Cricetulus griseus: one gene and its partners. The protein of the gene in region 2 interacts with the protein of the main gene of each other region in a pairwise test. Links are inferred from orthologs where the notes say so. Each region holds a gene or a part of one and is shown on either strand. Other genes may lie near its edges.

Evidence for each region.
Region 1: the proteins of Lrp6 (region 2) and Lrrk2 interact in binary tests that used the Homo sapiens proteins (3 or more experiments, as listed by UniProt). The link is inferred for Cricetulus griseus from reciprocal best matches to the Homo sapiens genes LRP6 and LRRK2.
Region 3: the proteins of Lrp6 (region 2) and Gsk3a interact in binary tests that used the Homo sapiens proteins (3 or more experiments, as listed by UniProt). The link is inferred for Cricetulus griseus from reciprocal best matches to the Homo sapiens genes LRP6 and GSK3A.

Annotation. Positions count from the first base shown.
Region 1 is NC_048595.1:388,186,534-388,196,589, reverse strand, and holds the start of Lrrk2 (leucine-rich repeat serine/threonine-protein kinase 2), read right to left. Parts: upstream 6,741-10,056; 5' UTR 6,584-6,740; coding exon 6,427-6,583; intron 6,260-6,426; coding exon 6,174-6,259; intron 120-6,173; coding exon 10-119; intron 1-9. UniProt on the Homo sapiens protein: Serine/threonine-protein kinase which phosphorylates a broad range of proteins involved in multiple processes such as neuronal plasticity, innate immunity, autophagy, and vesicle trafficking.
Region 2 is NC_048601.1:14,476,872-14,486,827, forward strand, and holds part of Lrp6 (low-density lipoprotein receptor-related protein 6), read left to right. Parts: intron 1-1,341; coding exon 1,342-1,544; intron 1,545-3,208; coding exon 3,209-3,420; intron 3,421-4,610; coding exon 4,611-4,801; intron 4,802-7,700; coding exon 7,701-7,910; intron 7,911-9,445; coding exon 9,446-9,571; intron 9,572-9,956. UniProt on the Homo sapiens protein: Component of the Wnt-Fzd-LRP5-LRP6 complex that triggers beta-catenin signaling through inducing aggregation of receptor-ligand complexes into ribosome-sized signalosomes.
Region 3 is NC_048602.1:9,982,831-9,992,886, forward strand, and holds the start of Gsk3a (glycogen synthase kinase-3 alpha), read right to left. Parts: upstream 6,707-10,056; 5' UTR 6,597-6,706; coding exon 6,314-6,596; intron 6,143-6,313; coding exon 5,963-6,142; intron 4,698-5,962; coding exon 4,510-4,697; intron 2,752-4,509; coding exon 2,668-2,751; intron 2,514-2,667; coding exon 2,403-2,513; intron 744-2,402; coding exon 613-743; intron 530-612; coding exon 423-529; intron 1-422. UniProt on the Homo sapiens protein: Constitutively active protein kinase that acts as a negative regulator in the hormonal control of glucose homeostasis, Wnt signaling and regulation of transcription factors and microtubules, by phosphorylating and inactivating glycogen synthase (GYS1 or GYS2), CTNNB1/beta-catenin, APC and AXIN1.

The DNA.
Region 1 (10,056 bases), on a different chromosome or scaffold from region 2:
CATACTTACTGATGAATTCTGAGGAACTCCCAATCATTTCCAATATCCTGGGGTCCTATTAAGCTCGGCAATGTCCCTGGGCAGACTTCTATTAATTTGCACAGAAGTGACCAACCCACCTGAAAGCAAGAAAGGTAAATACTTACTTTTTTTTTTTTTTTAGATAGTGTTCTGTATACCCCAAGCTAGTATTGAACTCATTTTGTAGCCATGAATGGCCTTGACTCTCCTCCAGTCCTCTTTTCCATGCAACATGCTAGAATTACAGCCATGTACCACCACACCCAGTTTACCCGATGCTGAGGATGACAGAACCCAGGGCTTCCTGTGTGGTATGCAAGCATTCTACCAACTGAGCTGTGTATCCAGTCCCATACCCACACTTTAGGATATTTTGGGGGGTGGTATTTTGAGATAGTATTTCTATGTGTAGCACTGGCTGTCCTGGAACTCACTTTCTAGATCAGGCTGTCTTCAAACTCATAGAGACCCTCCTTCTTCTGCCTCCCAAGTGCTGGGGTTAAAGGCATGTGCCACTACCACCCAGCCCATACCCAAATGTTTAAAGGCTTGTAGTAGATGAACCAATCATGAATCTCTGTTTTTTAGTGGAAGAGATTATTATATCGTTTTTAAATAATCATTTTAAGACTAAACAAAACCCTAAAATGCTTTCTGAGAATGAAAGTAAGGTGTGTATGGAAACCACACGTTGCTTTAAAACCACACGCAACTGGAACACAACAATATTGTGACATTCCTAAATAAATACAAAATAGACACCCTTATTGTTAGTATTCGGACAACTGTACTGGCCTGTCCTTGGGGTTCTGACAGGATATGTCCTCAGCTGCAGCCACTAAGAGCACCACCTGTACACATTCACTATATTTCCCTTTAAAAGGGCCCTGCTCATATCTCTCTCTCTATCTCTTTCTTTCTCTCTTCTTCTTCTTCTTCTTCTTCTTCTTCTTCTTCTTCTTCTTCTTCTTCTTCTTCTTCTTCTTCCTTCTCTGCCTGTCTCTCTGTCTCTCTTTCTCTCTCCCTCTGCCTCTCTCTCTTTTACTGCTCCTGTCTGCAGAAGTTGGTCTCTCCCTCCCCCTTCTTCCATTCCCTTTCCCCTAATAAAAAAATAAAAACACCCTCCATGTGAACTCTGTCACAAAGTATCTTTCTCTCTCATGTGGATTTTTAAAATTACAACACTTTTTATCTAAATAAACCAAAATAAGTAACAATTTTAAGGGAAGACTGAAGTTATTAAGCAAGAGTGGCTATACTCATACCTTATTGCTTTTTTAACATCAATATCTGACATATCTTTCCCAAGAATTCAAAATTTTGATTACAGAAAGAGAGAGGAGCTTGGAATGGAGAACTGGAGAATGCTGAAGATTTTTGTGGCAACGGGAAATGACTGGCCTTGGGTAATAGAGGCCTATGAGCAGTACTGTCCTATGATTGAAACTACATCTGCTACTAGAAAAAGAAACTATAATAGAAGGCAGAACACCTAAGTAACCCTTGTATTTTGCATACATCTTTTTAAAAAAAAGATTTGTTGATTTTATGTTTGAAGGTTTTGCTTGCATGTGTGCATATATGCCACCTTTGTGACTGATGCCTTGGGGTCAGGAGATGCCTTGGGGTCAGAACTCCCATGCTCTAATTAATGTCTCAGAAGCTGTGAGAAATTCTCTGACCAAAAAGCAACTCAGGAAGGAAGAGGTTTATTTCATCTTTACAGCTTCCAATCTACCATTAAAAGAAGCTGAGGCAAGAACTCAAGGCAAGAACCTGGAGGTAGGAACTGAATCATAGACTGTGAACAAAAGCTGCTCACTGGCTTGCTCAGTTTACTTTCTTGTCCAATCCATAACCAATCCACAGCCACCTTCCCCAGGGAAGACTCTGCTTACAGTGCACTGAGCCTTCCCACAATCATTAATCAAGAAAATGCCCTCTAGGCTTGCCCATAGGCCAGTCCAATGGAGGTAATTTCTCAATTGAGGTCCCCTCTTCCCAGGGACTCTAGTCTGTGTCAAGCTGACAAAGACCAAGAAGTACACATGGTACTTGAATTATACATATGCTTGAAAACCACCATATGTGTGCTGGAAACCAGACAAGGGGCCTCTGAAAGAACAGGAAGTGCTCTTAATCGTGAAGTCATCTATTCAGCACTCATTTTAAATTATCTTTGCACAGCTAATTAGACTTGACTCCAAAATCAACATACCATTCTTTTCCTTTGGAAAAAACAATACCAACTCCTGATTTTAACTCAGAGATCTGACCACTCTTCCCACTGTCTCTGTAAATCTGAAGCATCTTTTATTCTTCCTACATGCTAAAGAAATATACTCAATATGGTCAGGAAACAAAATAGAAAATTATTATCAAGGTAGCACACAGTTAATGAAATGTACAATTGATGAAATGCACAATTAATGAAAGGGTATCTGAGAATGACTTATGATAAATACTAAATCATATGAATCCTGAAAGAAAGACTCACACTGTGAGTCAGAACTACTCAAAGAAAGACAAAATGTGGCAGAGGTACGACTTCAGCCATAGTTCAAAATTCATGAGCGCTAAGACGAGCAGGGAGCTCATGACAAGAACTGGGTGCAGGGGAAGAGACAGCAGCTGAAGAAAACTGGACAGAGAAGTGAAGATAAATGATGCAAAGAGCTGAATGGCAAGGTGAGAGATTCACACTTGTTTGCTATGGGGCAGTGGCACACATCTGTATGTTTGCATGAGCAGATAGGAGGCATCTCACAAAAGATAAAATTCATAGGCTCTCTCTAAAGTCTCATCTCTTCACAGCATTGTTCGAGCTGAAGTCTTTTTACTATACTATTTTTTAATTAAGCGTGAATTGCCTCATGTTGCCACTACTTCCCTTTAAATAATTGCAATTCCTTTAAAAGGCAGAAATCTCTAAGAGTATTTATTTTTACCTATATTTAAATTGGATACCCTCCTCCCTTCCATGTAAGCAGAAGAGGTAGCATGAATAATAAAAATCCAGGGACAGATATTGGGGTTCAAACTGAAAATCAGAAAAACAAAGCAGCCAGACAGTAGAGATTTCTCCCCTCTACCAATGCTCAGACCAAAGGGGCAATTATGTCCTCTGATTGCATCTCCAGATCACACTACCATCCACCAAGCCTCAGAATCCTAGACTGGTCTCTGAGACTGTACTGAGCTCCTTATATACTCTCTAGTGCTGGGATTAAAGGTGTGAGCTCCCATGTGCTGAGATCACCTTTGTGAGAGCTCTGTTTCTCTTTTAGACTGATTCAGTCTTGTGTAGCCCTGGGTGGCCTTGAACTCAGGATTAAAGGTATGTGCCACCACCGCCCAGCTGTGACTAGCTTTGCATTCTGATCCTTCAGGCAAGCTTTATTAAAGCATAAGCAATATATCAACATAAGAAGACGTTAACAATCCAGCTGTCATAGAACCCAACTGTTTCTATTTTTTAAATTTTAAAAACTATGTGAAGCCTTTTCCCCAGACATTTAAGAAAGTAGCATTCTCATGAGCTTCTAGTGAGGAAATGTATTATAGGATGCTAAACTCCTGTCCATACCTGTACAGCTGACTCACTGAGAAAACCTGCTTTGTTTGGGTTGCTAAAGCCACGGCATCAATAATTGCTTGGCAAAAAGACCCATCTGAGTAGCTGAGCCTGCAATCACTGAGCAGAGCTTCGGTGACTAAGTGAAATCTCCAGCAACAAAGCAGGGGTAACAAGCGATGCATTAATCTTTCAATTAGGAACTTACCTTTCAATAAGAGAAAGTTTTTACCCTGCATACTTACAGTAGACAGCTTTTCTCTATTATAATTGCTCTATAAATCCAAGCATCCCACTCATAAACAATTCAAAAAAGTCAAGTGGTTGGATAACATCTAACCCACTTCCATTTATTTTGTTATCCTTCTTCAAATGTTGGAACTTCTTGGGGAAAGAGAAGTAAAATTGAGGACCAAAAGAAAGTGACTGATGAGAAGAGGAATGCATAGGGCAAGGTTGACAGCAGTTCTCTGAGATCTGCACTTGCAAAAAAGCACAGATAAAGAAAAATGTAAAAATCCAGACTCTGGAATATTGTGTTGGGTGACTCTAACAAGAAAACCTTAGCACACTTCTGAAGAGGACTCACCAAACTCCTTACATTCACCGAGAGATTTTCATTTGGTACAGCTAGCTAATTGGATGCAAGAAATAGGAAAGGATACTCATGCAATCACACCAATCATGTGAAGAAATTTAAAAGAAAATAATACTTTCCTGTAAACTGTTGAAAATCTCAGTACTGAGAGAGAACTTTTTCTATATCTCCTGAGAAGACCACTGATGATGTGGCCATTGTACATGCTCATAGCATCTGTGCTAAGCCACTAGACTTTTGCTTGCTTACACAACATCTTATGAATTCAACACCAGCTGAAGAAGATTTTGGAGTCATGAACATATCTGAGTCCTCACTCTCTTACAAGCTCCCCCAGGGACTATTCACTCTAAATTTAATCAATTTGAAGGAAAGACATTGGTCCGCTTTCTTCAAGGGCAGTGAGATTCCAGTAAGAATCTACTAATGTAATATGCATATACCCCTTTGCTGATAGACACATAAAGAACACTGGATGTACTGATTTTATTCTGCTATATTACCAAACCAAAGGCTGTTCCTTTCTAACACACTTTGCTGCTCCCACTCCTACCCAAACAACATCATAACCATTGCAGGCAAGTGTGTCCACACTTGGGCATTTTTTATAATCAAGAATTAGAATGTCTTGGTTAGGTGTAGCTAACTCACTGGTAGAGTGCTTAACTAGTACATGCAAAGCCCTGTGTTTAATTCCTACCAAGAGAGGGGGGGGTTAAGGACAGGGGAAAAGAAGGAGAAAGAAGAAATGGAGGAGGAGGAAGAAAAGAAAATAAAGAAGAAAAGTGAAGAGGGTAGAAACAGACAAGGGGAAAACAGACAAGTATAGCCCTTGGCAGTGTAGGTAACCAGAATTAGACACTTTTGAATACGAAGCAAGAAGGATGCTGTAGGTGGAGAGCAAAACACTTCTTAAAAATGATTCATATTCCGTGGGTAAATCTCAGACTCTGACTGCTAAAAGTATCTTTTTCATGCTTCCTCCATCTTTCTCTTGATTTTGTTTGATAATAACCTGAAAATCATTAGCCACATAGAAAATATTTCACAATTGGAAAAATGCATTATTGCAAACAAAAGTGTGCTTTTATAAAAGAAAACTAAAGCCATACACCTGCAATCATAGCACTGGGGAGGCTGTGGCAGAAAGATGGCAAGTTCCAAGTAGTCTGGGCTTTACTGTGAGAACTTGAGGAGGGAGAATTTGGAGAGTGAGATAAGCCTTACTTCTGTCTAGTCACTAGCATGAATATGAAGGAATATTCTCGCTGCACCTTCACAGAGTTCCCCTAAAAGTCTTAGTATTCAGATGACAAAACTGATTTCAATTCCCCAAATCGAAAAACTCCAAAGGAAGTTAGTACCTTCAGAAGTAATTCTATCTTGACCAAAAGACATTAATTATCTGGGGCTGCTTTGAAAGTCACATTTCATTACTTAGCCTACTTCTGGGCTTTCTGTGACACAGATCCTAGAAGTTACACTTTTGTCTCCATTTTGTGTGACAACAGCTGCAAAGTAGAAATGTAAACACAGGGAACTCAGGACACATCACTTTCTTTGGACACTTTGAGGTACACTTCAGGAAAAGCCTTGAATATGTCTTCTGATTTAAAACCATGTAAACAAGCTGGCCCTATGAAATTTTGCTGTTTATGTGACTGTTTTTTTTTCCTGATTACTTAATCCCCGCCCCCCAATTGCTGGAATTAATCACAGCAATGCCCTATTAAAAACACACTGCATATTAGGAAATTTCTTAGACTAGCTTGAAAGGTTAATGAACTCGCCGTGCCAATAAGAGAAGTGTTTTCATTTTACTCCTGCCACCATCTAGATTGTCAGTTAATAAAGTTGCTTCTACTCTGCTAATAGCGGTAGCAACTGACCACGTTTCCCTCTGAAAGCTAATCTCAAGAACCCAGGCCACCATGCCTATCATATAAGGGTCTTCAGAACAGAAGGGAACAGCCTGTTTACCTGCTGCACACTGGAGACTCTCATGTAGGAGTCCAGGACGATCAACAGAGGCACGTGTAAATTTTTACCTTCAAATAACTTGGAAGCTGAAAAAGAGGGAAGTGGAGGAAGAAAACAAAGTCACAATCCTCAGCATCCTTTCGACCTTCCTGGGATCCCAGTTCCTTCCCCCTGAAGGAAAGAAGTGGGGTGCCTAAGACTAGCACCCCAAGTGCAGGATAAAGTTTGCTAAAGGAGCGGCTGCAGGCATTACCTCTGTCGGAGTAAGTGAACACCAGCATGTCCTCCAGGAGCTGGAGCAACGTCTCAATCTGCTTGCCTTCCTGGACATTATTCAGCCTGACTATCAACTTCTTCAGCGCCTCCTCCTCCTCTTCCTCCTCGCAGCCCTGCGAGCCACCACTGGCCATAGTGCGGCGGGGACTGCCGGCGGGCGAGCCTGGAAGGTTGCTGTTCACAGTTGCTCCACTGCCTCTGCTGCAGGCCCAGCCCTCGGCCCGGCCGGCCGCGCCCAGAAGGCGACCGCAACAGTCCCAGCCCAGCCTAGCCTGCCCAGCCTCTGCGCTGGGAACTCCGCCTGGGGAAAATCGAAAGCAGCCACCCGCGATCTGCGATCTAAGAATAGCAAAGGGGCGTTGGGAAAAGAGGACACCGCCCAGTTAGCCCGTTTCAGGAAAACGGTTTCTTTAAGAGTTCCCCCTATAGGGAGTGTCCTTTTCCCCCAAAGGATGCCCACATTTAGACATCAAAATCGGCCAGATTGTTGTAGCTTTTGCAGGGAAAAACATGAAATGTTTGCTTGCTCTGAAGCTCTGGTTGCCAAAAGGACTCTCAGTTGTTTTGGGTTTGCAAGGCAGGATCCGGGAGTTCTGTCTGATTCAGCTCCCTGTTCTCAAGGATGGAACTGAGAGAATACGGGGTAGTCAGTGAAACAAAAGGTACAAGAAACAGTTCTTAAACGTCATTCCTGCTCAGAACTAGTTATTAGTACTCATGTCCAGACGTCTAAAATTAAAGGAGAGATCTGAAGTATGGGCAACTGGTAATTCTAGCACTTGGGAGGGGAAGAGAGGAACCATAGAAGTTCGAGGCCATCCTTGCCTCATAGCAAGTTCAAGGCCAGCCTGAGCTAAATGAGCCTATTTCAAAGGAGGGATGGGGGGAAGGGAGAAGGAAAGAAGGGAGATACAAAGAAGAGGAGGGGGAGTGAGAGAGAGAGAGGTAAGAGATTAGGGGGGTGGGAGACAGAAGGGGCCTGGAAAACAGAGTGCTAGAATACTTGAGTGAAGGAAGGCTTGGGATTGCAAAAGAAAAGAAAGAAAAGGCCAAAGTAGTATGTTTTTCAAGAGAACTCAGGAACAGTGCTGTAGAGAAAGATTGAACAGAGATGACCTAGGACCTTCAGATGACCTGTCCTCGAGGTCTTTTACACCAGAGGAGAATCAGACCAAGTTAGTATTTCATGACTTCCAATTCAGCATCCTGATAATAATTCCAAAATGGATGAGTGTTGCTCTTCTTACCTAGGAGGCACCTTTGGGATGGGTAGTGAAGGCCTGCTGGAACCACAGAGGTAGAGAGTGGGAGTGTGTTTGTGTTTGTGGTGTGGTGGGGGGGGGGTACTGAGAGCCAAGACTTAAATCCAGGATGGAGGTTTGTTCACACTCCCCTAATTTCAGCAGGATGAGAGACGAAGTCTACATCAGTGCTTTTTGTTGCCAAGGGTTTTTAATCTTTATAGACATATACTAAATGCTTTTATTTGCAAAGATAGAATATTTAGAATTTGCTTTCAGGTACTCCATGCTTTGGGGGGGTTGAAATGGGAGGAAGTAGAGATGAAATAGCAACTTTGGAACTGGGAATTGCAGAAGCCAAGAAATACTCCTGTGGTAATGTTACATTTCTATATGTGTAATCTCCCCTAATGAAACAAAATTCAACCTGTCATCTTTATGACACCTACAATATATCCTCTTCTGTGTGCTTTCTGGACTGGTTTCAACTTCTGAGGACTGAATGAATACCTCAGATTTCCTTTTCCTTTTTCTTTTTTGTTCACTCTGTTTCTCACTTAAAACAAAACAAACACGCAAGCAAGCAAAATCTTTCAAGAAATTGAGACTTGGTTCGCTTTAAAAGACAGTTCCAAGTGACAACATGTTTCCTAAGTTCCTAAATTCCTTTATCTACCTGTAGGCCTCCACACTGGCCAGGCTAGCAAACAGGGTGGGCTCTGTCTGAGCTGTCTACTGGAAACATTTGCCAGAAGCCACTGCACCTTAGGGGCAAAGTATCCTTGAGTTTTGAACACCTTTAATTGATTGACTAAAATTCCAAGACTCATTAACTCCCTAGTGAACAAGAATAAAAATGATGGCTACAGACAGGAATCCATGACTAAGGCAGTGTTCAGTGGAGAATAAAATAACACTAAATATTTGCCTAACTTCTGAGGAAGAAAGAAATAAAATTGACATCCCCAAACACAGCAAACAACAAAACAAAATCCAGATGGGCTAAAAAGCAAAACAAAAATAACTAGGGGAAAATATATATTAAACATCATTCAATCTCGCCTAAAAAACAATGGCAAGAACAGAAAACAGAGAAAGTTAACATTTGTGATTCATTGAAACGTATTTTCTGTTACCAAAGAAAAACATAAACTAAAGGGAAATGATAAGGGGGGGGGAAGAGAATTGCATATGGTAAAACCAATTAACTAGAAGAGTTTTTAATAAATCACTAGAAAGATGGTAACCAGTAGATTTACTGTGAATGATTAGGAAATTAAAAAAAATATGTTCATCTTTATATTCATAAAGATCACTGAAACTTTGTAAGTGAAATAGCAATGAGGAAAATAATGGGAATAAATCTGACACAATATATGCAAAACTTTTGAAAAGAAATGATCAAACTCTATTAAAGGCAAAAATAAATGAGTCTATCATACTAATAGGAAGATTAAGTATAAAAAGATACTACGTCTCTTAACAGTAAAGAAAAAATGAAATACTAAGTGATACTCTTCTATATTACAGCAAGACCTAGAGGCTAGAAGAGCTCACCAACTGTAGTGAAAGAACTGGTCAATTAGGCATGATCCAGGGACACAGTAGCCTTTACTATCACACTTTCAGAAGAAATAGTGTCACTGGGGTCACAGGAGGGACAGGCCCAGGAAGCACAGTTTATCCAGATCAAGTGACTTCCTGAGACTCAGGAACAGTTGTTCTCAGTGCCAGCTAGCAGACACACAGAGGGTATCAAGTTAGATTTGGATTTCAGGCTCCACACATTCCATCCTGAAACCCCTATATAGGACACAGTGTATACAATATATGAAGCACTCTCTTATCATGAAATTATTTGCAGTGTCATTGGCACAGCTACATAAAGAGAACACTGAAAGAGCAGAAAGAGGCTAATAATAGTACAAAGTACTACACAGATGGGAGGATGATATATACATATATTCCTATATATATTCCTAAATATAACCTTCTCAGTCTGTATAGTGTTCTTGTAAGCATTTTTTCATGGCTGATCATTGATTGGTATTGGATAACCAAATTTTTTTTTTTTTTTGGTTTTTCTGAGCAAGGGTTTCTCTGTGGCTTTTGAGGCTGTCCTGGAACTAGGCCAGTAGACCAGGCTGGTCTTGTAGACCAGGCTGGTCTTGAACTCACGGAGATCCACCTTCCTCTGCCTCCCGAGGAGTGCTGGGATTAAAGGCGTGTGCCACGGCCGCCCAGCTGGATAACCAATTTTTGTACTCTTCCCAGGGAAGAGTATTTCTCTTGATCACAACATTCCTTGTTTGCCTATAGTTCTTTGGGTAGAGTTGAGGTATATAGTCTTTCCCTCATCCACTTGG
Region 2 (9,956 bases):
CTAGGTCCTTTGCAGCAGGATATCTGCTGATTTCACATCAGCTGTCACAGTATCCTGAGTGATTGTATTCAGGTGATGTTAATTCTTCTTTGTAGTTTCCCTAAAGCACAAAGTACTAAGTGTAGCAACTATAGTATATTATAATCTTTCTTATTGCCCTGTTTGCCTGCATAGTTTGTCAATCACACCAGGTTGTCTCGTGCTCATGGAGATAAGAAAGGAACATTGGATCCCTGGGAACTTGAGCTAGAGAAAGCTGTGAGCCAGGAGTGCCGGAAGTTGAGCCTGGTCCTGCAGCAAGAGCAACAGTTGTTCTGAACCAGTGAGCCATCAGCTCCTCAACTAAGTTTTATGATAGATAGATAGATAGATAGATAGATAGATAGATAGATAGATAGATAGATAGATAGATATGTATAGGGAAAATACAGCAAATAAAGGATTTGGTACTGACAAACTTTTGTTTTGAAGAGAGGTTCAAAACCCAGGCTGGCCATGAAATCAACTCAGTAGCCTCCTGCCTGTACCTCTCAGATGTTTTCCTGAACAGATGACTGCATAATAATGAAAGGCCCCATTCTGGGAAAGGGAAGTGTTGTCTTGGATACACTTTCTCATTTTTATGAATTAGAGTATCATCTTACCATGGAACACAACATTTTCTAGTGAAACTTTTTAAGTTTCCTTTATTTTATGTGTATGAATGTTTGCCTGCATGTATGTGTGTGTGTGCCATGTACATGCCTGGTGCCCGAGGGAGCACAAAGGAATGTTAGTTCCCCTGGAATTGGGGTCACAGACACTTGGGATCCGCCACATGAGTACTGGGGACTGAACTCACATCCTCTGCAAGAGCAGCAGGCACTTTTAACCACTAAGCCATTTTTTCCAGCCCCTGGTTTTTGTTCTTGGTTTTTTGATAACATCTCACGCTGTCCAGCCTCACATTTACAGTGATTCTTTTGCTTTAGTTTCTATGGGAGAACCATATCTGGGTGGGAGTCAAGGAGATCAAGGCAAGCTACACAGAAGATGTGGCAGTGAAATGGTCCGGGAGGTATGGGTGGGATTTAGAACTAAACCAATGAAAGAACTCCAGGCAGTGAAACCAGAGAAAGCAACAAGAAAATTCAGGGCAAAGTGGACGGAAACAATTTACAACTGGGTTTATAGCCAGATTGTTCTCACTCTGAAGGGAGTTTTTGGAGGTGTGCCGAAGGTTTCTCCCCTCACCCTTAACATGTGGTTCTGATGGCATACATGAGACAGGCTCAGCCAACCTTGGGGTGGTAGTGAAGAGAGTCACAGTGTTTCAGATTTGCTCTTTTTTTCTCTTTTAAGCTCCTACCACCTTCCTGCTCTTCAGTCAGAAGAGTGCCATCAACCGCATGGTGATCGACGAGCAGCAGAGCCCTGACATCACCCTTCCCATCCACAGCCTTCGGAACGTTAGGGCCATTGATTACGACCCTTTGGACAAGCAGCTCTACTGGATTGACTCTCGACAGAACATGATCCGAAAGGCACAAGAAGATGGTGGCCAGGTAACTCAGGCTTAATTTAGAGCCCATTTCTGACTAGAATTAACTCTAACCATCCACACGGCTTCATCTGCCTACAGGGGAAATGGAAATTTTAGGACTTTTTTATTACTCAAAGTAGCTGTACTCTACGAATATCATTATTTGATGATGGCATTGGATTGGAAATTTTATCAGGGAAGCTAGGTCATTAGTGACTTTTCCACCACTGTTCACATCCATTAATGCCATTTTTTCATTATCCCTTTGAATACATGTTTTGAAATCAAGTAGGTCTTTGTTCTAGTCCCAGCTAAGTTTTTTGGTTGAACAGAATGTAAGGCGTAAAGCCCCTACCTGTTTAATAGTTACCTTTTTTACGTTTTAAGACTCATTGATTAAGAAACAGGATAATCTTAGTAAAATTAAAAATGTCAACAATGTGTTATTGATTCTGTATTTTTTTGGTTACTATTTGGGGACTTTAGAATGAGAATAAGGATAATATCAGTCTTATCTGTGCCTATGTGCCATTGTGGATTTCAATACTATTATTTATACTCCTTCCTTCTAGGGTCAGTCAGTGTAAGCTTGAGATTACAATAGCTATCTATCGTCTTCCTTATTCGAAAGATTTTAAATTGGATTTTGAATGGTTAAAATTTAGAGAAATATTACTCAATTTTTCTGTCTTACCTTACAGTAAAGAACAAGGAGGGCGAGATATACATACATTCATACATACATACATACATACATACATACATACATACATACTTACGAGTGCAATGTGGTCATACTTTGTACTCCAGCTGTACCTTGTACTACATAGGCTAGTACTCAATAACTGGTAGAGAGAAATTACACAGCCAAAGATAATAAATGATATAAGTAGTTTTTAAAAGGCTATATTAGCTCAAAGTCCTAGTAAATGAAATAAAATTTATATGGACAGAATAAATAGACAAATCTGCTTTTGGTTGGCTTTACAAGAAAAAAACTTATTATTAATTTGTAGTCAGGCATCTTGGTATAGGGCAGTAGTCCCAGCATGTAGGAACCTAAAAATGAAAGCTCCTAGCCAATAGATTAAGACCCTGTGTCTGAATAGTGCGGCGTGCGGGCGTGCGTGCGTGCGCTCCTGATTGCTATTTTCTCCAGAAGAATAAGGTTTCTCACACTTGGTATTGCTGGTCTTAGGGACTGCACAGTTCTTTGCTGTAAGGCTACCCTATGTATGCACTACAGGATGTTTAGAAGCATTCTTGGTCTGTATTTATCCAGTAGTCATCAGTAGGTTTCTCACATTTTGACATTCCCAATGCCCATGGATGCAATATCACCCTTAGTTGAGAACTACTGCTCTAGAGGTATCTCCAGGGTGTGATTGGAGCCACAGTTGTTTATAGTTATGGGGGAAAGCTGGTACCTCCTCTGATCAAGACATTGTCAGATTCCTGGACTATCTTTGCTATCCTCAGCATACTCTTCTGTTCCATAAAGCAACCCAGGGGGATATTTGAAATGCATGTTAACAAGCAGATATACCACTCATAAAAGCCCTTTCTATAAGAAATATCCCCAAAGACTGGATACCCTTCTGAGGTGTGACCTCACAAATTAATAATTGTGGTCATGGCCTGTAGTTTGGTGTGGAATCTAACTTGTGTGTTTTTTCCTTTCTTTAGGGTTTTACTGTAGTTGTTAGCTCAGTTCCAAATCAGAACCTCGAAATACAGCCCTATGACCTCAGCATCGATATTTATAGCCGTTACATCTACTGGACCTGTGAAGCTACCAATGTCATTGATGTGACAAGATTAGATGGGCGATCAATTGGAGTGGTTCTAAAAGGCGAGCAAGACAGACCCAGAGCCATTGTGGTAAACCCTGAGAAAGGGTATGTTACAAAAGCCTCAGTTTTCCACTTTCGCCTCTGATGCCCTCTTCACCCTTCCTTGCACCAGCAAACAACTCTACTCAGTGTTTCCCATTTACTTGGTCCTGCATTTTCTTACTGTTTTTTCTGATTTTACTGCCCAGAGTTCTTTCATTGGTTTAGTTCTAAATCCCACCCATACCCTCCAGGACTATTTCACTGCCACATCTTCTGTGTGGCTTGCCTTGATCTCCTTCATCCCCCAGCCAGGTGTGATTCTCTCACTTCTGGAATCTAGTGCCTACTCTGTGTCTTCTTAGTCATGATTATTCCTTTCCAGTTTGCTTTACTCAACTGTTTTTCTGTTACATGGTTATTACTAGACCTTCGGCTCCATTATAAATAACTAGTATGTCTGCTTTCATTTAATGGAGTTTGTATGTGATTTAGAAAAAAAAAAAGTCAATGCTCAGCTGCATCTGAATAGATGATAAGGGCATTAGCAGGAAAATGGCTTAATTCTAGAGTTACAGAAAAGGGATGAAACCTATAAATGATTTGTGTGTCCCATCTTTGGTAATTAAAATGGTTAATTAGAGAAATGCCTAAAAATTTTGTAACTAGATCTCTCTGGACATTATTTTTTTCTGTGAAATTTAACTCTCTGAACACTTACTTCTTGGTGCCCTCTGTGACTGTTATTAAAAATAATAAATATATCCCTTGACCTTTGTAAAAAAATAGACTGGGAGTGGGCAGGGAGAACCTGGAGAAAGTTTAATCAGTAGGTGCTCTCAGTTGAGCAGCTCTAGCACACTATTGCACAGTAGGCTGATTGCTAAGAGCGACCGACTGCAGAGTGCATACCCCAGAAGTCCATCAGAAAGACTTTGTTTACCGTAAACAGTAAATGCTTGAGGATATAGATATATTTAACCTAACTATGAAGTATATCCGTGCTTTGAACTGTCCGATTATTCCATTATATGCATAGTATGTCTTTGCATATAGCTGAGAATTTTTAGATAGATTTGAAAGTATTTTACCTCCTATCTTTATAAATAAATGTTTGTGGTTTGGGGGATTAAGCCCAAGGCCTTGCACGTGTTATGCAAGTGGTCTCCCACTGAGCTGTACTTTCTGCATATTCTTAACAAGAATATTCTCAGTTTGTCTGGCTCTTTGGTAACTTTTTCTCCTGTTGTTTTCAGGTATATGTATTTTACCAATCTCCAGGAAAGATCTCCTAAAATCGAAAGGGCTGCCTTGGATGGAACAGAACGGGAGGTCCTCTTTTTCAGTGGCTTAAGTAAACCAATTGCTTTGGCACTGGACAGCAAGCTGGGCAAGCTCTTCTGGGCTGATTCAGACCTCCGGCGAATTGAAAGCAGTGATCTCTCAGGTACCCAAAGTGTTTCTGTATCGTGACTTAAATTTTAAGATGATTTCACTACTGTGCATTTGTACTTCTTTTGTGTTGTTTTTGTACATGATTATAATTTTTTCATTAAATATATTCTGCATTATGTTAGTTGGGGGGATGTTTGAGATTACATCCTTGTTCCCTAATTACTCAGCAGTTTTGTTGATCTGAAAATTATGTATCTTTTTGTTTTCTTTCCTAATTCTTCCACTCTACTTTTACATTCTGTCCTCTCTGAAATCTAGCCTATGATTGATCTCTCTGCATTTTTCCATATGAAAGTTCAGAAGCACTCTCCCATATGCAGACGTTGTTCTGAAGTGTGTTTCCTAATATGTCTCCTTAAGATCTGAGTATTCTCACTCTTCAAACAGTCATCATTTTTACCTTTTGTTTCTCTGTGGTCTTCTCTCTTCTATCATAATTCATGATATCCAGTTTCTGCATGGCCTCTTTAGTGACCAGGAAGATAAAATTGAAATAATACACTGTTTATTTTTGTCAGAATGGCAAAAAGTATGTTGAAGTTTATTAAACCCAGTACTTGCCAGGATGGTAGAAATAACATACTCTCCTAAGGGTGAAGGTGGAGCTCATTGGTACAGCATCTGCCTAATGTGAATGCTGAATCCTGTCTCCCGCACCACAAATCCAGGACACTTTGGGGTCAATTAAAAGAGTAGAACCTCTAGTGGAGGACAGTCTGCCAATAGTTACCAGGATTGAAAGGAGGTAGAGCCTTTGATTTGGCAGTTACTCTTTTAGATGACTGTCTGACAGAAATACTAACAGAGTGATCACTGAACATCATTTGTGATAGTGTTTCATGGAGAAATTCCATGTAGCCTATCAGTATGTGACTATCAGTGCCACTCAAGAATAAGGAAAGGTGTTAAGTGCTTGTAATCATAGCACTTGGAAACAGAAGCAGGAAGACTCTTATTTTGAGACCTGCTGGACTAATTCCAAAAACCTGTTAAAACAAAAACAAAAACAAACCAGCCAGCCCCCACCTTGCTATGTGAACCTCTCTGTTGCCTAAAAGCAGTGGTGGAATTTCTACATAATAGAGACAGTAGCACACCCATTTGTACCGACAGATAAAAATGAATGTGGATTCTCTCCAAAGTTTTAATAGTCTAAAGAACCTATCAACATTATATGAGAATTGTCTCCCTAGCACTTGGTAATGTTGGGGATTTTTATAAGTCCAGTAGTTTGAAATGTATATAATAGTAGCAATTTTTTCTTACTTATGGAAATGGAACAAAATTTCTTTTGTGTTGATTGATAGTTTGCATTTCCCTGTTTCTTACTGCTCATAAGTCCCATCCCCCGTCCCCCGACACCCCCCTTTCTGTCCCCATACCACTGTTTTAAAGAAAGCCTTGCACTGTTTACCACACTGACCAAAAACTTGAGGTACCCCTGCCTGCTTATGCCTTCTGAGCAGCTGCAATGTGGGTATATACCACTGTACTCATCTGCCATTTTCCACTTTGAATTTCTAGAATTTTTTTGTGGGTTCAGAATATGAATTTACTGCTAAGGTATATGAAAGTGAATCTGTCTGGTCAGGGTCAACCTTGGCCTTGTTTAGTAGAGTTTTATCTGGAGTTATCTTGTACTTTGAGGTTCATGGGAACCTCCATTTGCTGATAAGACAAGAAACTTTGCATTTTTGTCTACTTAGTCTCAATACCATTGACTAGACAATCTGCCTTTTCCACTATTTTGAGATTTAAGTTTAAAAAAATAACTGTTTTGCCTGAATGCATGTTTGTGTAGTACATGTGTACCCGGTACCTGCCAGGGACTGGAGTTAGAGACGGGTGAGCTGCCGTGTGGTCACCTGGAATCATGCAGCTCACTGCTAGAGCACTTGTCTAGCTATAAGCAAGGCCTTGGGGTCAGTCCTCAGAAATGCGCGCGCATGCACGCACTCTCTCTCTCACACACACACACACACACACACACACACACACACACACACACACACACACACGAAAATTCTTACACATATGAGTCCATAAAACTTTTGATTTTGGCCGGGCATTGGTGGCGCACGCCTTTAATCCCAGCACTGGGGAGGAGAGGCAAGCGGATCTCTGTGAGTTCGAGGCTAGCCTGGTCTACAGAGCGAGTGCCAGGATAGGCTCCAAAGCTACACAGAGAAACCCTGTCTCGGAAAAAAAAAAAAAACTTTCGATGTTGCTGACTTGTACATGGTCCTCCTTTTTCTTCAGAGGATATGTTCTGAGATCCTCTGAGAGCATGGATGACACCAAACTCTAGAGGTGCCAAGAATCACCTGTCTATGCTTCAACATTACCACACCATCCAGAAGCTAATCCCCCCTGCCTTGTATTACTGTTCTTGGACATTGAGTCCAGGATATTACAGGATTAGTCCATAACCTGTGAGTCAGATGGACTGTGTATTTTTAGAAGCCAAGTGGAATCAGGGTAGAATTGTTTTTGATAAATGTCTCAGGTGTTTGCAGAACGTGGGGGGTGCTAAGCATAGAACCCTGGGCTTTCTACCACTGCTTCATCTAGACAAGCATTGCTTTCATCTGCTTTGTTGTGTTAGTTTTTCATATAATTTAATTTGAAAATGGATTCTGCTAAAAACAAATTGAAACTCACTGTCCCAAGTTCTTTGCTACATTTCCTAACTAGAAAAGTCCCTGTATATTGGTAATTAATTCCCAGTTGCACATGTCTGGTTTAGTACCGTTTTCTGGTACAGTTAAGTCTCATGGTGCAGAGCTTGTATTTCCCATACTTTTCGAGTCCACTTAGTATTCATTGGATAACTGTGGAAAGTGGGATTTGGCCACACAAATCATTACTGTTGAATATTTTCCTTTTCCAAGGTGCCAACAGGATAGTGCTAGAAGACTCTAATATCTTGCAGCCTGTGGGTCTGACTGTGTTTGAAAACTGGCTCTATTGGATTGATAAGCAGCAGCAAATGATTGAAAAAATTGACATGACTGGTCGAGAAGGAAGAACGAAGGTCCAGGCTCGAATTGCTCAGCTGAGTGACATCCATGCAGTAAAGGAGCTGAACCTGCACGAGTATAGTAAGTGAGGTGGACGGTGCAAGAAGCACTGTGTGTGTTGTAAGAAACAAGACATGGTCTTGTGGCTTCTTCACATCATTTTTCTTCTTTACTTTGTTATTACATTTAGAAAAACATTGTTGAGTATGAAATCTTAGCACCAAGGGGTGGAGGCAGGAAGGTTGCCCACTTGAAACCAGCTTGGACTGTCTAGCTAGACCTAGTCTCAGTAAACCAAGACCTGGAATGTAGCTCAGTAGTAAAGCACTTGCTTAGCACCCACAGGACCTGGATTTGGTCTTCAGACCAAGTAGATAATTGAATAATATTGTATACCTGAAAGACCGAGAACCACCTCTGTTGATGCACATTCAGATATCATAAGTAATGTCCGTTTGGGGCATTCTGCTCCTTTGTGGATCGTCGACAATCTTAACATCAACACAAATTTATGTAGCACCCATATTATGATGGAAAACAAATCATAATGGATGGCTCTATTGCATAATGATAACAATACTGTAACAGCAAACACAGGGTTGTTTGTAACACAAGCTAAATAGAAAATTCAGAGCAATGACTTCATAAAGTACAAGTTGTGAAATCGACATTGAAAAGTCGCCTAATGGCTTGTCTTTTTAGCTTCACCCAAGTAAGAGGAAATTAGATCTTTGTTATGCTATCTTTGGCAGTTGAACAAGCATATAATTTTGTCTATTTCAGTTCCATGTGACCATTAAGTTTTTCCTTCTACTAACTTTAATGTTCTACAAATTATTTATTAAAATATGCTTTTTTTAAATGAAATAATTTATAATTTATCTTTTAGAAAAGTAGAAGTTCTGAGTTAAAATATTTAAAAGAGAATTCTCAGTTTTAGAAACAAAACTATGTGTCAGAAGTCTCCCCTGGCAATTTTTCTAGTTCTATAAATCATTTTTTTATTATTAGGCTTTTGAAACCAGCTTTTGTTGTGTGGTCCTGGCTGGCCTGGAACTTGCTGTGTAAACAGTCCTGGCCTTAACTTACGGGATCCAGCTGCCTCTGCTTCCTAATACTGGAATACATGTGGCCAGCCAATATCTTAATTTAAAAAGTAATGCAAGCCTATCATAGTTAAGTTTTATTCATTGTATTTATCCATAGTTTTATTGATCATCTTTTTTAGGTTTGTTGTTGTTTAGGATTGAACCCAGGGCCTCACTCATGGCAAATACTCTTACCTGGAGCACTTTCCCCAGGCCTTGCTTTTATAATACTTTAAAATGAAATATGCATGCCTATATAACATGCTAGATTTTGTACATGCCTGCAATCTCAGTAGTTCTAGAGCTGAGATAAGAGGATCATCACTTGGACTTAAGACCAGCTGGGACAGTGAAGACTCCCATATCATTCCCCTACTCCATGCAGTGGTTATACAGAGATACTTTGTTAGAGGTTATAGAGATGGAGTATGGAATTACACTGTATAGAAATAAAATCAGAACTTATTTATATTTGGTATTGTTTGTGGTTCATAAATCATTGATTTTGATAATTACATTCTTTTCCAGGACAGCACCCTTGTGCCCAGGATAATGGTGGCTGTTCACATATTTGCCTCGTAAAAGGAGATGGTACTACAAGATGCTCTTGCCCCATGCACCTAGTTCTGCTTCAGGATGAGCTGTCCTGTGGAGGTAAAGATGTTAAAATCTTTCTTCTGCAAACCAGAATTCCACATCTCAATCTAGCCATCTGTGGCTAGGCAGTGAAGTTGCTATTTTCCCTGACTTAATTGGTAATTTGTGTTCTATTTATTTGCACAATACCAGGCGTACCTTTTTTCCTCTTTGCCCCCAGACTGTCCCTACTACTATAGTCTCCAGTGATCACTTTAACTCTGTTTCTGTGTGTTTGGATTTTATGCATTCCACATACAAGCATGATTATGTGGTGTTTACCATTTTGTGCCTTCTTTATTTCATTTAACAGATATTCTCTAGGCTTATCTCTTTGTAGCAGTGATAGGAGTTCCTCTTTTAAAAGTCAAATATTATTATATATGTGCTGTGATATTTTCAG
Region 3 (10,056 bases), on a different chromosome or scaffold from region 2:
CCTGTCCTGCCCATGGAAGAACTACGGCCTGGCCTGCTCACCCCTTCCCTACTCTGTGGTAGCTCAGATCTAAGGACCACACCAGCCCCTCCTCAGACTGACACCCTCCTCTAACCTTTCACATACATGTTCTCATTTCAGCCTTCCCACAGGAAGAGAGAGACAGGCCCTGGGAGCAGGCTATTCCCCTCCCCTCTAACAGAGCTGCTGACTGGGAGGCTCTAGAGTACAGGTGGGCTCTAGATAGAGTCAGGTTGGTCTTGAAGCCTCAGCCCTGCTCTGGCCAGCTGTTGAGCCCCCAGCAGGTAGCTGCATGGCAGCCAGCCTCCTCATCCTGTGAGGACCGTGGTAGGAGCAGACAGTAAGCTTTAGTCACCAAGCCTGCCCCTCCCCAGTCCCCGTCCCATCCATCCCTAACTGACCGATGGATGAGGTGTAATCTGTGGCTCCGAAGATGAGCTCTGGGGCACGGTAGTACCGAGAACAGATGTAGGAAACATTGGGCTCCCCCCGAACCAACTGCTTTGCACTGTGGGAAAAGACAGGCAGGGTCAGCATGAACCCAAGGCTGAGGCTCTCAGCTCTTTAGGTGCCCTACAGGCTCAGACCTACCTGCCGAAATCGCAGAGCTTGAGGACGGCAGTGTCGGGGTCCACAAGCAGATTCTGGGGCTTGATGTCACGGTGACACACACCTTGGGAGTGGATGTAGGCCAGGCTCCGGAAGAGCTGGTACATGTACACCTAAGATGGGCAGAGCACAGCTCACCGCTGCCCCTGCCCACCGCTTCCCACACAGACACTGCTGACCTTCCCATCGCCTCAGTCTGAAACCTGGTTCTCAAACTTTATGCCTGCCACAAGCACTTGGACGCATGGGAATAGGCCAGAGGGCCCCATTCCCAATTTCTGATTCTGAAGCTTGAGGATGGCACACCGAGACTAGGCCTGGCCCTCACATGGAGAACTACTGCCCCAGTCACCTCCCGCACGAGCCTGAGGAGTAGCACCAGAAGATCTTGCCATAACACAGGGTGTGGGCCAGGCACTCCGCTTCCCCTCTCACCAAAACCACGAGCTCTGGAGGGCCTCGGCCTCCTGCTGGCAGCTCTTCTCCAGCTTCACTTCCTGCCTCCCTTACGCCCACTGACTAGAACCTAAGCAGGGTTTTTAGTTTTGATTTGTTATAGTTTGGATTACACTTTGATTGTGTATACATGCCTGCTTCTGGGGGAGGGGGTTACACATGCACCCAGATAACAGGCAACCAGAGGACACCTTGCCGGTGTCGGTTCTTCCCTTTCATCGTGTGGGTCCCAGTGACTGGTCCTCAAGCTTGCAGCAAGCACCTTTACCCATGGAACCTTTCTGGGAATTTTTTCTTTTGACCCAGAGTTACACACTAGATTTCAAGCTGGCCTTGAACTTGAAATCCTCCTGCCTCGGCCTCCCCAGTGCTGTACTACAGGCATGCACCACTATGTGCAGCCAGGGCCTTCGGCTTTGCTTTCTCTTGCGTCTCCTAGGCCTAGGGCAATGCCTAATATATACTAACCAATTGACCCCTTGACACACAGGGCTGTTTCTGGGACCCCCTGCTCACACCACTCCCTTCCCAATCTTCCTTCATGGCTCTCAACCCCAAGCCAGGCAGGGAAGGGGCGTTCAGTTTCCAGAGCTCCCTGTGGTCCTCTGCCTTAGCAGCAGCTCCTCAGCTTTGTCATTTTCTGTGACGGAGCCTATAACCTCATCAAACAGCTATTTTCTTTTAAAGACAGTCTTTCTATGTAGCCCTGGCTGTCCTGGAGCATACTATGTAGACCAGGATGGTCTTAAAGTCAGAGATCCTCCTGCCTCTGCCTCTGCCTCCTGAGTGCTGGGACACAAGGTGTGTACCACCATGCCCAGCTCTCCATGGGCAAGGCCTGGCCTTCAGTCAGCTGTGCCTCTGGAACTGCTCAGCACTGGCTGAGCATAGAAGCAGCCATAGTACAGCTCGCAACTGCCGAACTGTCCTCCCAGTGTGGATGGCCCAGCAGCAGCAGCAGGCAGCCACAGGCACAGCCCACATTAGCAACAGCTTATCAGGGCACAAGGTGCTGAAGCCACCAACAGACCCACAGGCGATCTGGGGAGAGCCTGCCTGGCTCTTCTGTGTGGGCACACCTTCCTGCCACTCTAGCTTTCCCACCTAACCCCAACCCCTTTGCCACCTCCTTGGCAAGCCCTTGCCTTGGCCCTCCCTGGACTTAGCCAAACCCATCTGCAAGCTACAAGGCTGAAGACAGGGAACATAGGCCTCCAGAGACCAACCTAAATTCAAAGATGAAGGAAACCTTAGACACAGGTAGCCCCAGGGCCCCTGCTTTTGTGGGCCTGTGCTCCAGCAGCCTGCCTACATACCTTGACATAGATGATAGGGATAATCAGCTTGGCCTTGGTAAAGTGCCGGGCCACCCGGTACACCGTCTCGGGCACATACTCCAGCACCAGGTTTAAATACAGCTCATCTTTCTGGAGGGCAAAGGGGAGAAGAGACCTTGTAAGCTAAGAGGGAAGGTGTGCAGAGACCAGTGAGGAGCAGAAGGACCTCGTGGGAAAGAGGGCGGGAAGATGGATAGCATCCGAGTGTGGCTACACCCCTACCCCTCAGATTCCAGCATCTCACCTTCTCGCCACTGGAGTAGAAAAAGTACCGCAGCCTCACGATATTGCAGTGGTCCAGCTTACGCATAATCTGCAGCTCTCGGTTCTGCAGGGCAAAAGGAGTCTCAATACACACAATCCCGCCTCCCCCGCCCAGCACCGTCACCTCACCCTCCATCTATCTCTGCTAAGAAAGCAGGCAGCTGTCCCTTGTGCCCCAAACTCAAGGCTGCAAGGCCTGGGGCAGGGAGAAGAAAATTAGTTCTTCACTTCAACCTCTGGCCCCTTCCCCTCACACACAAGCTACAGCCTATGGGCCAGTTAGTCCTGGGCCACCAGTGTGTTTACTTCAAGCTGCTTTTTAGAAGTTCTCTAACTACTGCTGACATGTAAAGGTCAGTTAGTTTCTTCATAAAGCCCACCCTCCGCATCTCTTGAAGAATTTACTGAAGCTAGGCCTGGTGCTGGTCTAAGATCTCAGCAATTTGGAAGGCTAAGGCAGGAGGACCTCAAATTCAAGGACAGTCAGAGCACCATGGGGCAGCTCTGTGTCAAAATACAAAGAAGGATGCTAGGGATCTAGCTAGCTCAGTGGTAGAGCGCTCGCACAGCACACACAACTTCTGGGTTCCATCCCACATACTACAAAACTAAAGAAATCAGACCACGGAAACGTCACACCAGACACAGGCAAAAGCAGCAGCAGCAGAGAGCAGTGGCTGTCTGCTTCTCCCTGACCCCCGTCCCCCTCCACCACCTTCCCTGGACGTGCTGGGGACTCACAACTCAACACGCCACCTTCCCTGGAAGTGCTGGGGACTCACAACTCAACACGCCACCTTCCCTGGAAGTGCTGGGGACTCACAACTCAGCACCTTCCAACCTCACCTTCCCCTCCGTGCCTGGGCCTCTTCCCACTGTCTGGTCCCACCCAGGGCATCAGAACCCTTCTCAGATCCGCCCCAGCTCTGCAGTTCAGCTCCACCAAGGTCTGACTGACACCCCAGAGCTGCTCCTGTCCAAGAGCCCTCACTGCCCAGCCCCGCTTACCCGTCGGGTCTGGTACAGTCCTCCGTGCACCCCCCTCCTCTCTCCTGCTACTTAGTTCCCCAGGCCTCTGCAGCTCACAGAGCACCCTATCCTCTGGAGGCAGCCCTGCCCTGCACAAGGCAAGGGGCTCAAATGAGCACCGTCAGGGCTCGATTACATTGAGCACTGGCTGACGCCTGGGGAAGAGCACGTCCTTCAGAGCCACCATCATCATCAGCCTTATCTGACCTTTTCTTCTGGAAGAGATGTGACCAAGTGGTTGAGGAGAGGGACTTCCGAGTCTACAGGCCAGAGCCTTCCCCCGAAGGGGCCCTTACCATGCAGCCTCATTTCTGCTGACATAGAGCAGGAATAGCAGCAGGTCCTGCCCTCAGAGATGCTTCAGGTCAATTAAATTAGAACTTGCCTGTCAAGCACTTAACACCAAGGAAATGCCCAGTAAACATTAGCTCTCAGCTCTTCTGAAATTTACATTTCCCCCAGTTCACTTCACCGGAATTCCCTCTCTCCTGAGGCCCATGCTCAGGTCCCGCTGAAATCCTGGGCTCAGGCTGGTGAGACACATCAGTCCATAGAAGTGCTTGCCATGCAAGACCGATGACCTGGGTTCAATCCCCAGATTCCAGGGTGGTAGGAGAACCAACTCCCAACAGTTGCCTGGCCTCCGTATATGCATCATGGCACACACATACATCATACACATGCACACATTAATAAATAATAGTAAGAACATTAAATTCCAGATACTAGTCCTATTGCTGGACACAAACAGCAGTCACTCCCAGTCCCCAAACCGCCAGTCCACTCAAGGTACCTTGAACCTTTTGTCCTGAAGAACCTTCTTGATGGCCACTAGTTCCCTTGTCTCTGCCAGCCGTGCCTGGTACACGACTCCAAATGAGCCATTGCCAATCACTTTGATGTCAGTGTAAGCCACCTCTTGGGAACGCTCTGGGCCTTGGCCTAGAGTGGCTACCACTGTGGTCACCTTCCCGCTGTCACCTAAGGAACAAAGGGAATACAATCTACTGACCTTTCCCAGGGAGGGAAAGCTGTTCAAAAAACTCACTGTGGGTGAAGGGACAGTGATTACTTGGTGACAGAGTACTGTCTGGCACACACCTTGAGTTCAATACCTGAGGACAGGGAGGGGAGCTTAGCTACTCCAGTAACCCGGAGCCTCCCTCCAAGGAACCCTACATTCTGCTTCCCATATTGGAGGGCACGGACATGCAAACTTATTTCCATTAATGTGTAAGTACCCACTTTCTCCTTTTAGCAAACAACAGCAAGTCACTTGGTGGTGGGGGACCATCAACACCCTCGGTGCATAACCCAGCCGCACCGGGCTCCCCGGCCTTTGGCCCCTTCTGCAGGGCCACCACAAGGTACCATCTTCCACTCAAAGGAGCAGAAACTATGAGGTGTTCGTTCTTCCAGAAAACTCTGGCCATTCTCACAGTCTGAGGGCACTAACTTCTAAATCCTCCCTGGCAGATCAAGGACCATTGCCACTGCTCCTGAGTGACGGAAATGAACGGGGCTAACTGACAGTGCCCTGACCCTCACTTGTTGCTAGGGGTGGGGGTTGCTGTTGCTCTTACCTAACACTGCACTGATTGGGATGTGTGGGATATTCTTAGTGCCATTCCCAGTCACCTTCCGAAAACTTATCAACAAATTCCAGTTGGGAGGGGGCAGTGTATGACATTTTGAAAAATAATCCTACATTGCTTTTTTTTTTTTTTTTTTTTTCCCCAGAGCCAAAGACGGCCACTTCAAACCCGTATTTTATAGTAGGTGTGACCCAGGCCACCCCATTCTATTTTTTGGCTAACCAGCCCCGCCCCCCCCCCCATTTTTTTCTTTTTAAAAAGAACACTGTTTGATTTGAAGCTCATTGCTATTCCCAATCTGCTGTCATTTACAAACAGCAATGATAACTCGCTGTCAGCATTGGGGACACAAGTCTACACATTTTCGATGGGTAAGGTGGTCATGTCAGGCCTTATATTTCAAGCCTGGCCCTGCTCTGTGGGAACATCAGTAATCCTAAGTCTGCACTTCTAAAAGAGACATTCCATCCAAATCCCCATTTCTGATGGAAAGGAAACCAGTGCCCCCCCCCCGCCCCCTTTTCCGTATAGGACGGTGGCAGTGATCTTTTTTATTCTTGTCTCTTAGGGGACAATGATCCTAGATCACCACTGGCAAGTAACTATGACCTCTGATCCTGTTCCCTAGTGCATGGCAGCGTCGTCAAGTACCCGGGACCTTGATACTGGATACTGGAAGAATGGGGCCTGTGACCTCTGCTTCTCGGATGCTGGTAATTCTGATTCTAAACTCCAAGGGATGGGAGCCCCCCAACTCCTTTATCCGGGAGCCCCGAGAGCCCAGATCCCGGTGTGAAACAGCACGGTGAACCTCAAGCTGCTTCTTTCTATCTGGGTCCCGGGGAAAAGAGAAAAAAAAAATAGAAAATAAAAATAAAAAATAATAATAAAAAAAAAATACCAAAGAAAGCCTGGCCGCCGCCGTTTGCCGGGCTTGGGGGACCCCGATCGCCGCCGCCACCGCCGCCACCACCACCCCACGGGGCGCCCCTAAGTACTCACGGCCCAGCTTCACTCCGGGCGGCGGGAAGCTAGTGCCCGCGCCGGCGCCAGCGCTGCCGCCTCCGCCGCTGCCGCTGGGGCCACCCCCGGAGCCCGAGGCGCCCACGCCCCCACCCATAGCCCCGACTGACGCCTTCCCGCCGCCACTGCCTCCCGGGCCGGAGGCCGAGCCCCCGGGGCCGCCTCCACCGCCTCCGCCTCCGCCGCCTGGCTCCGCGAACGAGCTGGTCCGCGCCCGGCCCGAGCTCCCAGGGCCGCCTCCCGAAGGCCCGCCGCCACTCATGGCGCCGAGCGCAGGCCCAGGGCCGCGGGCTCGGGCTGCCTGGGCTGCCCCTGCCGCCGCCGCCTCTGCCGCCGCCTCCCCTGGGCTCCGGCCTCTTCCAGGCCGCGCCGTTCGGGCTCCGGCTCCGGCCCAGCGCCCGCCGCGGGGCACGCCGGGAGATGAAGTCCCTCTGCCGTCGGCTTCGTTGTCGCCACCCTCGGACTCGCACAGCACGCCGGGAAATGGAGTTCTCAAGACCTCAGAGTAGCTGACGGGGGGGGAGGGGGGCGGGGAGGGGGGACAGAGGGAAAAGGGGTGGGGGGGAAATACGGTTCGCGCTGCACGTCGGGAAGTAGAGTCCTGGATAATGTCACCCGACCCTGACCAAAGGCAACTCTAAAATACTTCGGAAGCCACATTCAGGGCAAGACGCTCATTACACAGATGCAACAGCAAGCCCCAGAGGCTATCAGAAATGAAATCCTAGCCCCTCCATCCCGGAGCGGCCTCCAACCCTGAAGCATTCTGGGAAATGGAGTCCAGTCACCCATCCACTCCCATGGGCTGGTCGGTGACTTCCTGTGCCGGGTGCCTTCTGGGAGATTGAGTCCGCACTCGTGCACCCTCGGTTCTTGATCTGTGAAGCACACTGGGAAATGGAGTCGTCACCACGCCCTCACCGCATTGCAGGTGTAGAGCGTTTTGTAAAGCACGCTAGGAAAAGACTCAGGTGGTCCTCAAACCCCAAGTAGATACTGTAACTGGAAGAGGTAGGATAGGAAATGGAGCGGGCATCGCGCTCTCTCTGTCCAGTTAGCTGCGCCGCAGTTCCTTCCGGGAAATGTAGTCGACACCAAGAGTTAAGCGCGGTGCTTCAGCCAGCCTGGTGTCTTCTGGGAAATGAAGTTCAAGACAGCCTCATCTTTGAGGAAGGGGATGGGAGCGACCAGCAGCCAGAGGCATGCTGGGAAGAGTCCACAGTGGAATCTGACTCTTTGTGAAGCTAGGTGCAGGGCTTCTTGGGAAACGTAGTCCAAAGGGAGTGCTGTGGCTGGCAGTGGAGGTGAAAGGTTAAGGACGAGAGTTCCCGGGGGGAAACTATTAGGAGTTACAATGTCTCCTCCCTGGTCCTCAGCCCATCAGCCACTGCTGGGAAAAGGAGCCAGTCCCTCGAGGGCCACAGATTGGGAAGAGAAACACGTTTCCTCCCTGAATCCTCCAAGGGTTTCACGAACAGTCCCGGCCCGACCGACCGACCGACCGCGGGTCCCAACGCTTGTTTTCGGGGACTCTCTCTCTGTCTCCCTCTGTCTCTCTGTCTCTCTCCCTCTCTCTCCCTCTCCTCTCTCTCTCTGTCTCTCTCTCCCTCTCCTCTCTCTCTGTCTCTCCCCCTCTTCTTTCTCTGTCTCTCTCCCTCTCTCTGTCTCTCTCCCCCTCTCTCTCCCCCTCTCTCTCCCTCTCTCTCTCTCCGTCTCTTCCTCTCTCTGTCACTCCCTCTCTCTCTCCCTCCCTCTCCCTCCCCCTCTCTCTCTCTCCCTCTCTCTCCCTGTCTCTCTCTCTCTCCCTCTCTCTGACAACGTGGTTACAGCCAAGAGGACGAGCTGCACGACTAAAAAATAATAATAATAATAATAAATGAGACAACTTATGTCCTGAACTCGTATCCCAAACGATACTGGGAATCCCTCTCTCTCTCCTCCTCCCCCCTCTCTCTGTCTCCTCCTCCTCCCTCTCTCTGTCTCTCTCTCTTCTCTGTCTCTCTCCCTCTCCTCTCTCTCTCTCTGTCTCTGTCTCCGTCTCTCTCTCTCCTTCAGACTACGTTATCCAGAAGGCAAAGCGCAGGTCCTTCCGCCCACTTTGCAAAGCTTCACGCTCGCTCGCTCGACTGGAGAGGGCGGTTCCGGTGCAGCACAGCCAAACGGACGGCTGCCGCCCTCTGACGGCTGCTCGGAGTTGAAAAGTAAAATTTAAGTCAAGCCCCAAGGCATAGGAGGACCAAGAAGTCTCACGTGTGTCTGTGTGTGTCTGTCTGTGTGTGTGTTTGGTGTGTGTGTCTGTGTGTGTCTGTGTGTGTGTGTCTGTCTGTGTGTGTGTTTGGTGTGTGTGTCTGTGTGTGTGTGTGTGGTGTGAGTGGTGTGTGTGTTTGGTGTGTGTGTCTGTGTGTCTGTGTGTGTCTGTGTGTGTGTGTCTGTCTGTCTCTGTGTGTGTCTGTGTGTGTTGTCTGTGTGTCTGTGTTTGGTGTGTGAATGGTGTGGTGTGAGTGGTGTGTGGTGTGTGTGTGTGTGTGTGTGTGTGTGTGTGTGTGTGTGTGTGTGTGTGTGTGTGTGTGTGGTGTGTGTGTGTGTTGTGTGTGTGTGTGTGTGTGTGTGTGTGTGTGTCAGCACAGAACCCATTACTTAACCGCCGGAGCCGGTATGACCTGAGCAGACGGCCGGTCTTTGCATTAATCTCCGTGGGGCACTTGGAGGGCGAATGTCAGAGAAGAGCTGTAAAATGTCTCCAAGTGTCTAAGGGGGTCCTAGAGATGTCTGCATGAAAGAAGTCTTTGATAAGCCACAGGCATCGGAAAGCCATTGTTTGGGGCATGATGGAGAAAGCTCAAGAGATACCTGTGAGAGAATGAGACATTAAGACGGTTTCCAAGCAGCCTGACTAGGTGAAGCACGACACTGAAGAGACTTTGGAGGGGTTGTGTAGGGACTTGGGAGGAGGGCTGTCCTTACAAATGGGATTTGGTTTTGGCATGGATTAATCTGTAAAATGCCCTCAAGGATCTTCTGGTTGGAAGCAAAAAATCTCAGGACCAAGGTCAGGTGTCTTTTGTTTCTGTTTCTTTTGAAAACAGGACCTGATAACTCCAGCTTGCTTGCTCAAGTTCACGACGAAGCTGAAGATGTCTTTTCTAACCTGCCTGTTCCATGCTGGGATTACAGGTGGGTGCCACCACGACAGGTTTTGGATGCTGGGAATTGAACCCAAGGGTCTTCTTGTACATGCTAAACAAGCAAGCACTCTACCAACGAGCCCCATCCCCAGCACCCCCCCTTCTCTTTTGAAATAGGGTCTTCGAAGGCCCAGCACTCGGGAGGCAGAGGCAGGTGCATCTCTGTGAGTCTGAGGCTCACATCGTCTACAGAACGAGTTCCAGGACAGCCAAGACCACACAGAGAAACCCTGTCTCAGGAAACAAAAGGGATAACGGGGGGGGGGGGATGCTGCTGTTTTTAAGGCCAAATAGGACCTGTGACACCCACACAAAGTCAGAATCTGGGGCAACAAGTTTGAATAGACCCTGACCTGACCTCCAAGGGGCTGTGAAGCCGAGCACTTATAGAGTCTTGTGATTGGAAGTGCTGCTCTCAAGGTTTCTGCTGAGGCTACTGGCCAGTCCTGCTTCTTGCAGTGACAACATCCGCCTTCCTCTGTCACCCCACTAGCAACTCAGCTGCATCTCCGTTGCCAGGAGATATGTCTCATCCCA